Pelodiscus sinensis: one gene and its partner. The protein of the gene in region 1 interacts with the protein of each later gene in a pairwise test. Links are inferred from orthologs where the notes say so. Each region holds a gene or a part of one and is shown on either strand. Other genes may lie near its edges.

The links. The genes of interacting proteins can lie anywhere in the genome.
Region 2: the proteins of RHOJ (region 1) and PAK2 interact in binary tests that used the Homo sapiens proteins (3 or more experiments, as listed by UniProt). The two-hybrid records come from large-scale screens. The link is inferred for Pelodiscus sinensis from reciprocal best matches to the Homo sapiens genes RHOJ and PAK2.

The regions. Positions count from the first base shown.
Region 1 is NC_134714.1:14,816,720-14,823,990, reverse strand, and holds the start of RHOJ (rho-related GTP-binding protein RhoJ), read right to left. Parts: upstream 3,048-7,271; 5' UTR 2,495-3,047; coding exon 2,317-2,494; intron 1-2,316.
Region 2 is NC_134720.1:621,764-629,494, forward strand, and holds the start of PAK2 (serine/threonine-protein kinase PAK 2), read left to right. Parts: upstream 1-4,676; 5' UTR 4,677-4,832; intron 4,833-7,731. UniProt on the Homo sapiens protein: Serine/threonine protein kinase that plays a role in a variety of different signaling pathways including cytoskeleton regulation, cell motility, cell cycle progression, apoptosis or proliferation.

The DNA.
Region 1 (7,271 bases):
AGCCCCTTGAAATTTGACAGAATTCCTTTCCTACACACACGTTGCCTGCCTCTATTTGCATCAATAATATGAATACCTTTCCCACATCTGCAGCCCACATGAACAAAGGCTAGAAAGTAGATAGGGCAAGTTAGCATAATTGTGATCAGATGCTTTTGATGGTTAACAGCATTTGCTCAGTGACAACTGTGTTATTAAGCAATTCCCAGTTCTGAGCTAGGCAGAACAGTATCCTGGAAGATAACAGTGATCCCAGTGCAAAAGTGATTCTTAGATCAGAATAGGTTCCCCTGACTCTCCTGCTCTTTTACTCCAAGAGAAAGAAGGAAATCAGTAAATAATCTGACGTTCCCAGTCAGGCTGTGACACTGACCCGGTGAGACGGGAGGAACACTGCTAACACAACACTGGTATTAATAAAGCTGGTCAAAACATTTTGGGAGAACGTGTTGAATTTGATGACATTTTTGACAGGAAGTCTAAATGAATCATTTCAACATTCGTGGTTGGATAATGTCAAAATGTTTTGTTCAAACATTATTGTTTTGATTCTGTTTTGAAGTATAGGTTATATTAGAATTTTAATGTTAAATTGTATCAAATGTATTGTATTATATTTAATTCTTTGATAGTGTCAAACTGCTGAACTATCAACCTCCATCCCCCCTTTTTTAATACTGTTGCATGGAACATTTCAACATTTTGCTTTTCATGCTGATTTGGAACAAAGACAGATTTCAAAATGCTGGAATTTCCCCTGGAATAGAAATTTTGTTTTCTGACTACCTCTAGTTTTTAATCACACCAATCAGGCAGAGTTTGTCCCACAATAGTACAATAATATCCAAAGACTCAAAACAATCTTTTTAGCTTTCTGGGCTTTCTCCTAAAAATCATTCTTCCTTATACTACTTGCTTTTAACGTTTCAAAATTTCAATAAAATAATTGGAGACAATCTCAGAAACCTAAGTCTTCAGTCCCTGCAAATACATTTGTAAAATTGTCATTTAAATGGGAATATATATATTGTTTCACACATTATCTTTATTAAATTTTTACTCCTATTTCTGTTTTGTGTAAACAGGTTTTTTTAAAATGGGAATTTAAAACAAATGGGTGAGATGGTAGAGAAAAGACATTGTTGTTAACATCTAGAGACAAAGCTACACACATTTATGGAGAAATAAGGGTTTCACATTACCTCATATCAAACTCAGCATTTACAGTTTTCTTTTTTGGCCATGTCTCTCTGCTAAACCTGACATGAAGCCAAGGTGAAAGCTGAGATTTTCCCATTACAGAATACCAAATCTATGATAAGCCATGCCATGAAAATCCAGTTTAGGAGAAACAGAAAACAAAAAGCAAACAAAATTGCTGCAAGATCAGTGATAAGTTTTGTATAACTTACAAAATCTGTTTTTTTAGGGATCTTATAAATAAAAAAATAGGATCAGTAGCGTAACATGATGAAGACAACCAATTTCTTGCATTAGGAAAACTAAAGCAACATTAAAGACTGTTTTCAGCCTGTTGCACAGTACACATGGTAAATTCTGAAGCACCTAAAAAAGTTGCAAGGAGTTGCTACAGCAGAAGTGGCCTGTGAATACTGTACCTAAACCGTGATCTTCTTAAGATATGTTTTTCATTTTGCCCTGTGATACAATCAAGATCAGTTATGATCTTTGCTATGTTCTGTGAATGATTGTTCTTTTTTTTTTTCATTAAGACAAGTGCATTCATCATTAAGCATTAAAACCAGTGCTGCTTTGCTCTACTATTAACTACTCTAATACTCTGATATTAACTACTATTAATCATAAATGCCAATACAACAAAGTGACCTTCATTCCGGCAGCACTAGGTGAGGTGTCACTGCTTTTCTCAAAGATTAGTTCATAGAGAGGATCTCAGTATTGCAACTTCTGAATCACTTGCCACACAAGGAAAAAGATGACTGACAAAATGCACGTTAGAGTCAGACAGACTGAAGTGGGCAGAGTTCAGCTCGTAACTTCAAAACAAGCCTGGCAAATAACTATAGAAACACTGAATTATAGCCACTGCCTTTAAAGCCAGGGGAGGTTACTTAAAGTTGTGTTTCTAATTCTGCATATTTGCCAAAAAAATAAAATGGGAAACAAATAACAAATCCTTCAGTGCCCTCCTTGAATGTGCTGCCCTCTACTCTGCCTGGCTGCCTTCCAAACCTGACTCATGTTCTCGGGCTAGTAGTCCCTTGACATCTCCTTTGCCCTCCGTCTCCCTTCCCTTTCCCTCTGAAGTTTTCTTTGTAAAAACCACTTCCTTACCTGCATAATGGTCAAATACGGTAGGCACATACTCCTCTGGGAAGGCATCATTAGCATAACTCATCAGCAAACAGGTTTTCCCCACTGCACCATCCCCAACCACCACGCACTTTAACATCTTCTTCACGTTATTGCTGCTGCATTCGGTGCTGGTGTCATCTTCCTCCTTACAGTTCATTCTTGCGGCACTGCTGCTGGTCCCAGGACTTCCAAGTGCACATGAAGGAAAAATGAAGTGCAATTGTATTCACTCTTCCTGAGTTTCGGAGGCTCTCCACCTCAGGAAATCATACTGTCTCCAGGCTGTTCCAGCTGCCTCTAACAATTACCGTATCAGTAAAGAGAAGCATTGAGGTAAATAAATGATACATCTATTAAAAATTCAAGAAAAGGATTGTCCTTTCTTGTGAGCTGGAGTCAGGAAATACTCATCCTGACAGAGAGACCTCTGTTTATTGCAACTTTAAAAATATCAGCAGTCAGAGGCGTTGATTCTCTTCTCCCCTTCTCCAGTTTGGCCAGAGGATTCCGGTATTCCTGCTAAATCCACTCCATTTTCCATTTCATTTCTAACATGGAGGAAAGCTGGAGGTTTTTAATGGAGTTTTTCCTTTCTTTCCTCAGCTTGCTGTGTGTCAGGAAATCATGGGTTTCCTGCTGAATTCCATATTAGGATCAGTGGGCTTGTGAAGGGCTGCAAACAATAGGAGCTCTGTGTGCGTTTGTACTTTAGAGGAACTATGCCAGGACATAGAGTAAGAAAAACACTAGAGGTCTCACTGCAGGCTAAAGTTGTTAGGCTTCCTGTTTCATCTAAAGCACTGTTCTCTGGGCTGGCTGAGATGAGGCTGGTGTTAGCTCATAGATACGTAGAGGATTTGAATGGGGAACATTGTGAAAAATAGGGATTCAGGTTTAAATGAATAAGCAGGGAATGTCAGGGGTTCGTTCTGTAAGGGAACCGGCCTGTAAAATGTGCAGTACTGTCCATCTTAGGGGTTTTGGCTGCCACACATTGCTGTAGCACCCTGGGATGTGCTTTTTCTTTTGAGGGTGTTGGTAGATGGGAGTAGAATGGAACCCAAATGCTCTCCTTTGTAAGTACCTCTTTAACAATTTGGGTACAGTAATAAATCAGGCTTATCAAGCCAGGAACGAAGACATTCTCCTCCCTGTCCCCTGCCCAACAAACAAATGAGACTTTTTCAGGTATAGATGTGTGAGCACGGCAGAGAAGAGAGCCGATGGAGAATTCAGAACGACAGCTGTTAAAAGGTGAAGGCTACAGGGCAAAGCTACAGAACAGTCTGTGTAAAACCAGTTAAAAGGCATTGCTTTTATTCCCTAAAGCCCGAGCCATCTGTGTTCCTGTGAGACACACAGTTCTGCTGTAGTATTTCATATAGTTCTGAGCCTCCTTTTTAGTTTTACTGTAAATCTGTACCAAAGATCTCACCGTGGGTACACACTTGGGGTACGTCTAGACTACAGGCTTTTGTTGACAGAACTTTTGTCAACAGATACTGTCAACAAAGCTTCTGTCGACAAAGAGTCTAGACTACATCCAGTTCTGTAGACAAAGCAAGCTGCTTTGTCGACATGGCAGTGTAGACGCAAAGGACAGTTTAGATGCAATAATGCCTTCTGTCAACAGAACTCTGTTGACAAAAGGCGTTATTCCTCGTAAAATGAGATTTACCAGTGTCGACAAAACTGCTGAGTTCTGTCAATGTTATGTCGACAGAACTCAGTGGTAGTGTAGATGCAGGTTTAGTTTTGTCGACAAAACCCTGTAGTCTAGACACACCCTTAGGGTCGAACCTTACTCTTTATTCCTGCAATCTCCAGCAGAGTCACCCGAACAGCCCCTTGCTCATATCAGCCGTTCTCTTCCCTGGGCATTCCAGTGCATGCTGCGTCCTTTGCCTTACTCAGATTCTAAAGCCTCCAAGTGGGGAAACAGAGAAATCTACCATGAGATAAGAAATGGCAAGGTGCGACGGATGCACTGCTTAGCTCCCAGCTGCCCAGAAACAACAGTCTGCAGTCCCATAGTGTTGGATGGGTTGGGCTCAGAGAGAGAGAGAGAGACCCTTCCCTCCCCAAGCAGTAAAGATCAACAGGGTCATCTTGGCCACATAACTGTAAGTCACACCGCACTGATGTAATGAAGCAGGTGTAGCAGAGACCCCCAGAGACACCACTCCTTAAAGGCCCAATCCAAAGCCTCTAAAAGTCAATGGGAGTCTTCCCTGAAGCAAGCCCTCGCTTCATTCCCACGGATCCTGCCATCTGTGCTAGCCAGCGCGCCAAGTGGGTCTCCACCGTTTGCCTTTAAACCCTCCTCTGGGTTTTGCTTATGAAGAACATTTGATCCATGGTGACCCCTGCTCCTCCTTTCGCTCCCTCGTAGGGAGGCTGAACTAAATACAAAGCATTGGGCCATCTGCCACCGAGCTGTGCTCATAATAACAGGGATTCTGGAGAGGCTCCTGAGCCTGCCTCTCCTTGCCCAGTGTCCTGGCAATTGTGAGAGTGGGGAATGGGCAGGACAAGACCCACAGTATCTGATTCCTCGTTTTACATGGGCAAAGTTATCCAGTTTCCTAGTGATTTCAGTGAAAGGTTTAAGCAGCTCTATTCCCATCCCCTGCTGCTGCCTCTTTCCTTCCTTTAAAGCAGAGCTAATCAACATGCGGCCCGCTTGTTTGTGGCCCATGGTGCCATTTGGGTTTACACGGAGCTCAACATGTGCCTGCGGGTGGAAGCGAAAACAAAAAAGTAGTCAATATAATGGTCTTCTGTTGATATGTGTTTTAGTAGTTAAATTCCTGGACTGTCATTGCTCATTAAAAGTGCTGACATCGGGTAAATATTGCATTTTATGAATATCAGCAGAACTGACTTAAATGGGGCCTGCGTGTCGTACAGTCTTGCCTTAATCTTTGATACATGCCCATTGATGTGAAATAAGCTATTTGCATATATAGTTGCATATATATGCAACCGCACTTAAGTTGCAGACTTGGGCATGTGCTGTGAGTATCATTGTGGCCCCTGGGGCTTCCAAAGTTGAGTAGCCCTGCTTTAAAGGGACCCTCAAAATTGGCCTTTTGTTGGTGGTTTGGGAAACATTTGGGAGGAATCTGTTTTAATTTAGACCTGCCAATAAAAGGAGCTAAACCCCTCTCTCTTTTGCCTTGGCGGCAGCTATTAAAGTGCAGTACTCACTTTTGGCCATGATCTTAAAGACCAGCTAATGACTCTCCTTGAAGAGGCCAACACGATGATTTATGAGATTAGCTTTAAAGTGAGCAAGGCTGACATCTTGCCCATAAATCTCTTTAATTCAGCACTGTAATTTTTCTTTACAAACATAAACAATGTGAATAGACTAGCTTAGCAGATTTGCCCCACAAAAAACCCCTATAAAGGTCTGTACCTGGACTAAAAGCATATGTTTTCTTTAACGTGGGTTGGCCCCCATTCACAAAGGCCAGATGAAAATGTGGTTTAGTTGCAACCAAGTTTAATAACAGTTATTGTACGTTTCTTTTGGCTGCATAGCTAGAGCCATAATTAACCCTTGTACTGCTCTGCGGATGAATCTTTTACATCTGTGGGGATGGCGCTTACTTTGCAGTATGGATTAATAGCCCGGTACTGCTCAACTTGAGCAAAGTTTGTGGCCGTACGAGTTGTTTTCTATAACAGGTTGCTGCCCCTCTGACGAGTCTCTTAGAATTCTGCTGCAGGGGAGGGTGAGCAGTTGAGCGGTTGCTCTCACATGTTGCTGAATGTCTTTCTTGCCTTCAGTGCTGGGTAATGGGTGTTTCTTCAGAACTTTCGATTTATTAATCGGCAGATTGGAATTGTCAGTGGTGTAGGTACACTGAAGCCTTCTGCTGCCTTTGAAAGCTCCCGAGGCTACCTCTGCACAGCAGAGCTGTGTGAGCATTCTGGTTTGGAAAATATGATGGTGTTAGTGATGGGCATGGCTTGAAAGAGCGAGAAGTTTAAGTTTGAATCCATAGGTTTCCTGCAATTCTCTAAGGGTACATCTAGATTACAAGCCTCTTTCGAAAGAGAGCATCTAGACAGCAACCAGTACTTTCACAAAAGAGAGCCGCTTTTTCGAAAGACAGCACCAAGGCAGTCTGGATGCTCTCTTTTGAAAAAGCACAGTTTGTGTTCAATAATGCCTTTTTTTGAAAGAGCACTTTTGAAAAAAGGCGTTATTCCTCGTAAAATGAGGTTTTCTGCAGTTGAAAAAACTGACTCTTCTTTCAATTTAATTTCAAAAAAAATGTGGCAGCAGTCTAGATTCAGGTGAAGTTTTTTTTAAAAAAAAAAAAAAGGCCACTTTTTTTTTTAAAAAAACCCTGTAGTCTAGACACACCTTAACCTTCTCTAATCTGGATATCAGGTTTGAATTTTTCAAGTTCTTTTCTATGAAATTCCAGGTGCTTCCTAATTTGCCAGTAATTCACTAATACTGGAAGGACAGCTTAGTTCCCTCAATATTGCTGTACCTCCACTTCCAGCCAAAGTCTTAAAGAGATGCAGAGTGTGAAAATTCAAAAGACCTAAAGAAAAAGTTAACCCACTTCCTCTGAACCTCCAGAAAGGCTTGGTGAGCATTTTGGGTGGAGACTGCAGTCTCCTCATCCACCAGTTTGCCCATCACTGGGTTTTCCAAGGGGCTAGCAAAGGGCCACAGCCTCAAGTGGGGAAGCTGAGCCAAGCCAATGGAGGCAGTTAGTGGGGGTGGAGGGAAGCTGTCACCTGAGGCAGCTAGCCAGCAGTTTATAGTCAAAGTAGCTGTGTTCCTGGTGGCGCACCTGCATTGGCTCACTGAGGAACAGAGGGGCTACAAGCAGTAGGCCTAATCCTCTGAGCTACTAAGTTCTTCCAACTCCCTCTTGTTCACCTGCATGGGCACTTCCATTTTCAGC
Region 2 (7,731 bases), on another chromosome or scaffold:
AAATTGCTGAGTATTTTAATGATCTACATTAATGTTTAATTATTTCAAGTTAATTTGAAAGAAATAATCTGTTCTAATCAGTTGTAATGACATCTATTACTGAATTTCTGGTAGAGGTAGACATTTGATTACAGCAATTTGGGACTGGAAAGGTTAATCTTCAGAAGCTTTACCTGAGCTTTATGGCTGAGAGTATGCAGTCAGGGGGAAGATGATCAGAGGAATGGATACCCTATTTAATGAGAGGAGACTGGAAAGGCTTAGCAAAAAGAAGACTAAGAGCCTGGTTGTGATCTCTGAATGCAGCAAGGCGAAAGAAAACCAGGGAGAGTTAGTACAAGTATAGAACAATATTGGTACAAGATTAAAGGGGTATAAACTGGTCTTGAACAAATTCAAGCTGGGAATGAGATGCTTTCTAACCATCAGCAGTATGAGGATCTGGGACAGCCTTCCAATAGGAAGAGTGTTTGGGTGTGAGTGGGGGCAAACAACATACTTAGTTTTGAGATCGATCCTGACAGATTTGTTGGCATTGTATGATGGGGGTATAGAGGTGATTGGTTGTACCTGAATCAATTGGTATTACAGATCTTTTATCAAAAATGATGTTGGCAGCCAGTTATACAGTAAACTAAGTTTATTAACTAAGAAAAAAAGACTGAGTTACTGAGCTGTGAGAGCAGGTAAATATAACAGGTAAATCACAGTTTGTAATTCCAAATGGTGGCAATGATGTAATGAACTGCGTTTCCCAAAAGTCCTTCTGGATCTTTGTCTTCACATTCAGTTATTGTGCCCTGTTAGAATCCAAATAGTCCAGAGATAGATGTTCTTTCTTCGAATCCACGTTTATATCTTCTTTCAGAAGACAAGCTGACAGTCTCTCTTAACTATCGGCTTTTCTTTGATTACAGATAGTAAGGAATGGACTTAGAGTCCTTACTTTGAATATCACACACAAGGATCACTTACTTAGAAGCATTTTCTGTTAAAGTCCTTAAACACTTCATTAGCATTTCCTAAAGTTCTTTGATGGGTAATTTAATTCCAGGGCTATAAACAAATGTAAATGTTTGCTATATTATAACAAGAATAGATAAACAAGAACAATAAAAGTAAGGACCCATTAGTTTTCATGAAGTTTAAAGATCTGCGTATGCTCTCATACATTCAGCAATTAGGGATATTAAATTTCAATTAATTGGCTAATTGAATAGTCGATGCAGTTTGCATCAACGATTCAATTAGTTGATAAGGGCACCTCCACCTTTGAAGTGTGGCAACAGCCACAGGATGAGCACAGGACCAGTGGGCGACTCAAGCAGACTCCTGCTGGTCCCGTGCTCCCCGTGGTGTTTCAAAGCGGCAGTGCTGCATGGAGCCTAGGGTCAGCGGTCCTCAGCTGACCCCGGGCTCCATGCGTCACAGCTGCTTTGAAATGCCACATGCAGCCCAGGGCCAGCTGGGAGTTCCCAGCTGGCCCAGGCTGCATGCGGTGTTTCAAAGCAGCAGCTCTGTGTGGAGCCCGGGGTCTGGCTCTGGGCTCTACACAGCACTGTTGCTTTGAAGCAACCCTTGCTCTTCCCCCTCCTCTCCACTTGCTACCTCCTTCTGATAGAAGCAGCCAGGGTGGGGGAAGTGACTAGTTGACTAGCATGTCGACTATCTGATAAGCATTTGCTTAGTCATTCACGTCCTTAAAATTAGTTTGATCTATCTTAATAGTAAGTCAATTGGCCTGAATGCACTCTTACATCTAACACTTGCTTTTGATCTGTACTAACAAAGGTGAACCAGCCCTTGGCCCTGATCTGACCTGGTTTGCTAGTGTCAGAGGGATCCCCCCCCCCCAATAAGTATTCTGTGGTTTTTCTTTTTAAATCTTCTAAAGCATTAGAAAAACCACTGGTGGAGATGGGTCACAGGACAGAATGGGCCAGTGCTCTGAGGTGGTACCAAGTAATCTCTTTCCCAGATGCTTGTCTGATTGGTTCTTGCTCACATGTCCAGGTTCCAATTGATCATGCTATGTGGGATTCTGATGGACTTTCCCCCCAGGTCAGATTGCCAGTGGCCTTGGTGATTTTTTTTTAAACATGTGTGTTCCTCTACAGCATGGATGCACATTGTTTGCCAGGGTCATTTGTGTGTCTCCCTTCCCTTGGGCCTTGTGCACCTCATCTCTTCTTTTCTATTTTTATGGCATATAGTTTAGTCTCGTGTCGGCTGTCATACCCAGGCCTGACTTTGCTTATTGAGTTTAGTGGGCAGGAAATCGGACTAGATGAAAGAAAAGTAAACCCACTGGCAAAAAAATCTTTAGTGATACAAAAAACAAGGAAAGAAGAAATGAGCTCGCAAATTGGTGTGGAGTTTAAAGATAATCTAGGCATGGTCAAACACCTAAATGAATATTTTGCCTCATCTTACAAAAAGAATAATTAGAATCTTGGGGACAGCGCAGGATGGCCACTAGGAACAAAGATATGAAAGCTGAAATTACCACATCTGAGATGAAAGTTAAACTTATTTTTATGGGACAAAACCAGGACGCGGTATGGGGATAATCTCCATCCAAGAATATTAAAAAAACTGGCACATGAAATTGCAAACCTCAAAACAATGATTTTTAATACATCCATAAACTCAGGGGTCATAGCCTATGACTACTGAATTGCAAATACAGTACTTTTAAATATACAATTATCTGACCTAAACAGGACTGGAGGATGATTGGATAGTGAAAATGTTAGGTAATATGGAGTACCAATAAAAAACATGGGAATAAATATGTATTACTAATTCTAATGAAAAAATAAACATCAAACAAAAGCACAACTGCACTCCTGTGTGGTGTGGGCGCATGCACTGATTGTGATTGGCTATTGTACATGCTGCGTTCTTATTCGTCAATTTGTCACGTCGGCGGGTGGCACGTTGGATAAAATGGTATGTTGGATAAGCGAAGGTCAGAAAATCGAGACTGCCCTGTAAGAGGTTAAAAAAGTGATGAGAGAAATTACAGGCCCTTTTGGTTTGGTTTGTATGCAAAGTTGTAAAACAAATGTTGAAAGAGAAAGTAAGGACGTAAAGATAAATAGCAATTAGAATAAAATACATAATCATTTTACGAAAGATAGATTATAATAACGTAAGAATGGCCAGACTGGGTCAGACCAAAGGTCCATCCAGCCCAGTATCCTGTCTGCCAACAGTGGCCAATGCCAGGTGTCCCGGGGGAGTGAACCCAACAGGTAATGATCAAGCGCTCTCTCTCCTGCCATCCATCTCCACCCTCTGACAGAGGCTAGGGACACCATTCCTTACTCATGCTATGGACTTAACCTCCATTAATTTATCTAGTTCTCTTTTAAACCCTGTTATAGCCCTAGCCTTCACAACCTCCTCAGGCGAGGAGTTCCACAGATTGACTATGCACTGTGTGAAGAAGAACGTCCTTTTATTAGTTTTAAACCTGCTGCCCATTAGTTTCATTTGGTGGCCCCTAGTTCTTATATTATGAGAACAAGTAAATAACTTTTCCTTATTCACTTTCTCCCCACCACTCATGATTTTATAGACCTCTATCGTATATCTTCTTTGAGAAGATAATGGATTCTCTTCAAAGGAAGTGGAGAGGATCTATTCTGACTGTATTTCAATAAGGTATTATATAGTTATACAATGGAAATTATTAAATTGGAGAGGACAGGGATTAATATGAGAATGAAAAGCTTGGTGAGGAACTAGTTAAAGAGGACACTGTAACAGGTCATGCTGAACAGTGAACTGTAAGGGTGGTGGGAGGTTACTAGTGCATTTCTTCAATGACTGGTCTTGAGACCAATCTTAGTTTCCATTATCATTACCGACCTTGGCACAAAAAGTGAGAGTACACTAACGAGTTTTGCACATGACAAAGGAGGGCGGTATTTCCAATATGGAGGAGGACCGGCATATTGTGCAAGAAGTATTGGATGACTTCAAAAGCCGGTGGTAAGAGAGTGTTCCGCAACTGGGGGTGGGGGGTCTACTTCACATCCTCCATTACGTCCTATGTGGGGGCAGAGTTTTTCTGGGCAGTGTCTGAAGATGTCCAGGGAGGAGCAGCGGGTACTGTCAGCACTGTCCAGGGGCCTTTGCTAGGTGTCCCCCCTCTGGATCCCTGCTTCTGAATGTATCCTTGCTCCTACCCCTGACTCTTCATGTGCTGCTGGGCTGGGTCTAGACTGGCCAGTTTTTCCGCAAAATCATCTGCTTTTCTGGAAAAACTTGCCAGCTGTCTACACTGGCCGCTTGAATTTCCGCACCAGCACTGCCGGTCCCTGTAGGAGTGTCAGTGTCCTTGCGGAAATGCCGTGTTGCTCCGGGCAAAAGTCTTTTTCCGAAAAACGTCTGCGCCCGAGGGCCAAATGGCGATCCTGGAGGGCGGGGCTACCCAGCGCCGCCGGCCTGCTCCCGCTGGGCCCTGTCTCCCATGGCAACCGGGAGGCAGCCCCTCCCTCCGCTCCGGGTGAGGAGGCGGGAACGGAGCCGGGGGCGGGGCCCCCCAGGGGTGAGGGGCCCAGGACTCCGCTTCCCAGCGGGCCCCGCGCGCGCCGGCACCTCCCCCTTTGCCCCGCCCCGCGCCCGCTGCATCACGGGAGCGGTAGTCTCCGCGCGAACATGCGCGGAGGGCGGCCCCGCCCCCTCCCCTCCTCCTCCCGGGCTGTGGCCACGCGCGGCGGTTCCGCTTCCCCCTCCGGCTGCCGCCGCCTCGGTGGGTCCCGCTGCCGCCATCGCAGGAGGCGCCGCGCGAGCCAGGGGCCGCGGCCGGGGTCCCCCCGCCGGTGAGTCCCGCGCTGAGGCGGCCGCCGATCGCTCCTCCCGCGCCGGGCGGCCCCCACCTGCCGGCGGGTCCCAGGCCGCGGCGCCTCCGCCCGCCCCGGGGCGCGGGGCCAGGTGCGGGCAGCCCCCCCCCCCCCCGGCTGCTCCGGGAGCCGCAGGCAGCGCGCGGGCGGGCGGGCGGCTCTTCCCTGGGGGGCGGGGGGGCTGCGCCCGGGCCGCGCGGAGGAAGGCGCACCTGCCCCGCGCGCCGCACTGCTGTCCGCGGGCAGGGCAAGCGGGCTCGGTGTGTGTCCTGCTCCTGTGCTCTCGGGCTCTCAGCCGCAGGGTGAGCGCCACGGGCTGGTGTGTCGCTGCATCGGGGCCTCCCTGGCGCCCTGACCTCTTGGGGTAATTGCACACAAAGAATTAATGGAGTTGTCAAGTTTTGCCCAAACTGACATTTTGTAACAGAAATATTGTTGGTGAATCTGTGGGTTTACTGGATTTCTTTTTCTCTACCATTCCCTGGTAGTGTAAGCAACCCAAATATCGCAGCATTCCATTAGTGTGTGTGTGTGTTGGAAAATTCCTTTGTGGATCAGTACCCCTTTGTGGTTCGTTTATGCTTTGTCTCAGTGTAGTTGTCACTGTCTGGTTTTGTTTGTTTGTTTGTTGAAGTCGCTTTCCTGTTTTCTGACATCTTTATTTTTCTACTTTTGTTCATTATGTGTTTTTTCTATCTGCTCCCCCAGCCCTCCTCACAAGAGACTCTGAAGTGTTTAAGGCCAGAAGGGACTATTAGATCATCTAGTCCGACCTCTTGCTCATTTCAGGCCATTACATTTCACCCAAATACCCCACTTGTGAGACCAGTTACTTTTGGTAAATAAAGCATTTAGTCCTTAGGGGACTAAACCATTGTGTTGCAGGCACAACACAGGAGAGATGGGTGCTGTGTAAGTTCTTGCAGTGGCAGGAAACTGACTAGGTGTGAGAAGTGCCTACATGATCCCAACAGGCCATGTGTATCCCATAATGAGGAAGAGGAAAATATCTTAGAGTCCCTGCAGATCTGATCTTGGGGGACCTCCTTACCTATATCTGATCGATTAGACCCTGAGCATGTGAGCAAGATATGCCAGCCACATGTCTAAGATGGAATTTGGATGTACATGTGAGAGGGGGTGTGTGTCTAACTGGGTCTCTAACTTATACCATTGACAGAACTACTTTTAGTCCAGTACTTACCCTCTCCTGTCCTTTTTTATGTTTTCACTCTTCCCAAATTCTTTTTTTGGTTGGAATTTCAGTGCTCAAGTATTGTCTGAGAGTTGGACTGAGCTTCCAGAGCCAGTATGTTCTTCTTTCAGATTAACAGATCGTTAATTGATGCCTCTGCTGTGGCCACAGTGAAGATAAATCATGGTTTTTGGAATAAGTATCCTAACTGTTACAGCAGCAGTGTTTTAAAGGGCTTATTTTAAAAAACCAAACCAAACCCAAATGGCATATTTGGATGTACCATTCAACCACACCAATGTCAAAGGGTTTTGCCAAGTAGTGGTGTGAATGAAAATGCTAATGCTGGAGTCTTGGGCTAGGACCTAAGCATCACTTTGTATACTGACATGTCTGATCAAAATGCACAGGTGGGGAGAAAAGGAGGAGGGTAGCAGAGGCATGGAAGTGGAAACAATTGAGTGAGATTATGGAGGTGTCAGGCTATTAAAAATTATTTGCCTTAGATCCCCTCTGTCCACTTAATAGCGCTGACATATGTGGTGGGCTGGGAAGTCCTATTTAAGTAATTTATAGTTAAGGATTTAAAGCACTGGTGGGCAGTATGCAAGGCGGCAGGTGGTCCTTCTGGGGTCTGTGTGTGGCCTGTGAGAGATTCTGTTTACCATTGCCCAGGCATGTCCATGTAGTTTTTTCCTACCAGTACTGCTAAAGTGATACGCACCTAAAGTAAGTGCATATGAGCTGAAATTGCACACAGCATTGATTGCGAGAGCCATGTGCTCTCTCTACATCCAATCAAAGTACTGTTACTGTCCAGTGGGCACTCCCAGCAAATTCTAAGGTAGGCAAGTGTAGTTAGCAAAACTACCCCATCCCAGGAGACTGTCTTGGATATGGCAATCATGTGGCCCACTCACTAGCCTAGGTTGCCCATCGCTGATTGAAAATAATCTAAAGCAGTTTTACCAGTGCCATTTTGTAAAACGACATATATGTTTTAAGCAGTAGTGGTTGAACAGGAAGATGATTTATAGTTTGTAGGATTGAAACTAACTTCGTCCAGTCAGATGATCGCTCTCCTTCCAAGCTATATTATAACTCCTCAAGGTATAAAATCAAAGAGCTACAAGTATTTGTGACTTGTACAAGGCAATATAAATGTAACTTTAATTAAGAATATTGTAGGCAGTTCAAGCAGGCTAAATCCAAATCCTCATAGAGACAATTGTAAAGCTTTCCATTGAAGAGATCGTTCCAAAACCTTAACTACAGTGATCGGTTTCACTGCTTTTTTTTTCTTTATGAAAACAGACACTAGTTGGAGCAGTAAGAAGGTTAAAAGAATACAAGCTTTCAGTATATTCCTTTGAATCTCTCGAGTTAACTAGGTAGTGGTTTCTTGAAAATATTGTAAGTGACTCACAAATAAAAGTCTGCAATTGTCCAGTGGTGTCTGGAAGATATTACCATTCCATAAATAAGAATTATGCATAAATTACAATTGAATGTCACTAGAGCATGCGTTAGTCGGACTAAGGATTCTTAAGATGCTTTTCTGTCTAGGGTTGGTGTTTTTTGTATCATTGTAGTGTACGATGAAAAGAAACTGTTTAATATTAGCATTATGCATTTTCATGAAAGTATGATGTGTTAAATATATTGGCATTAAAATGTTCAAAT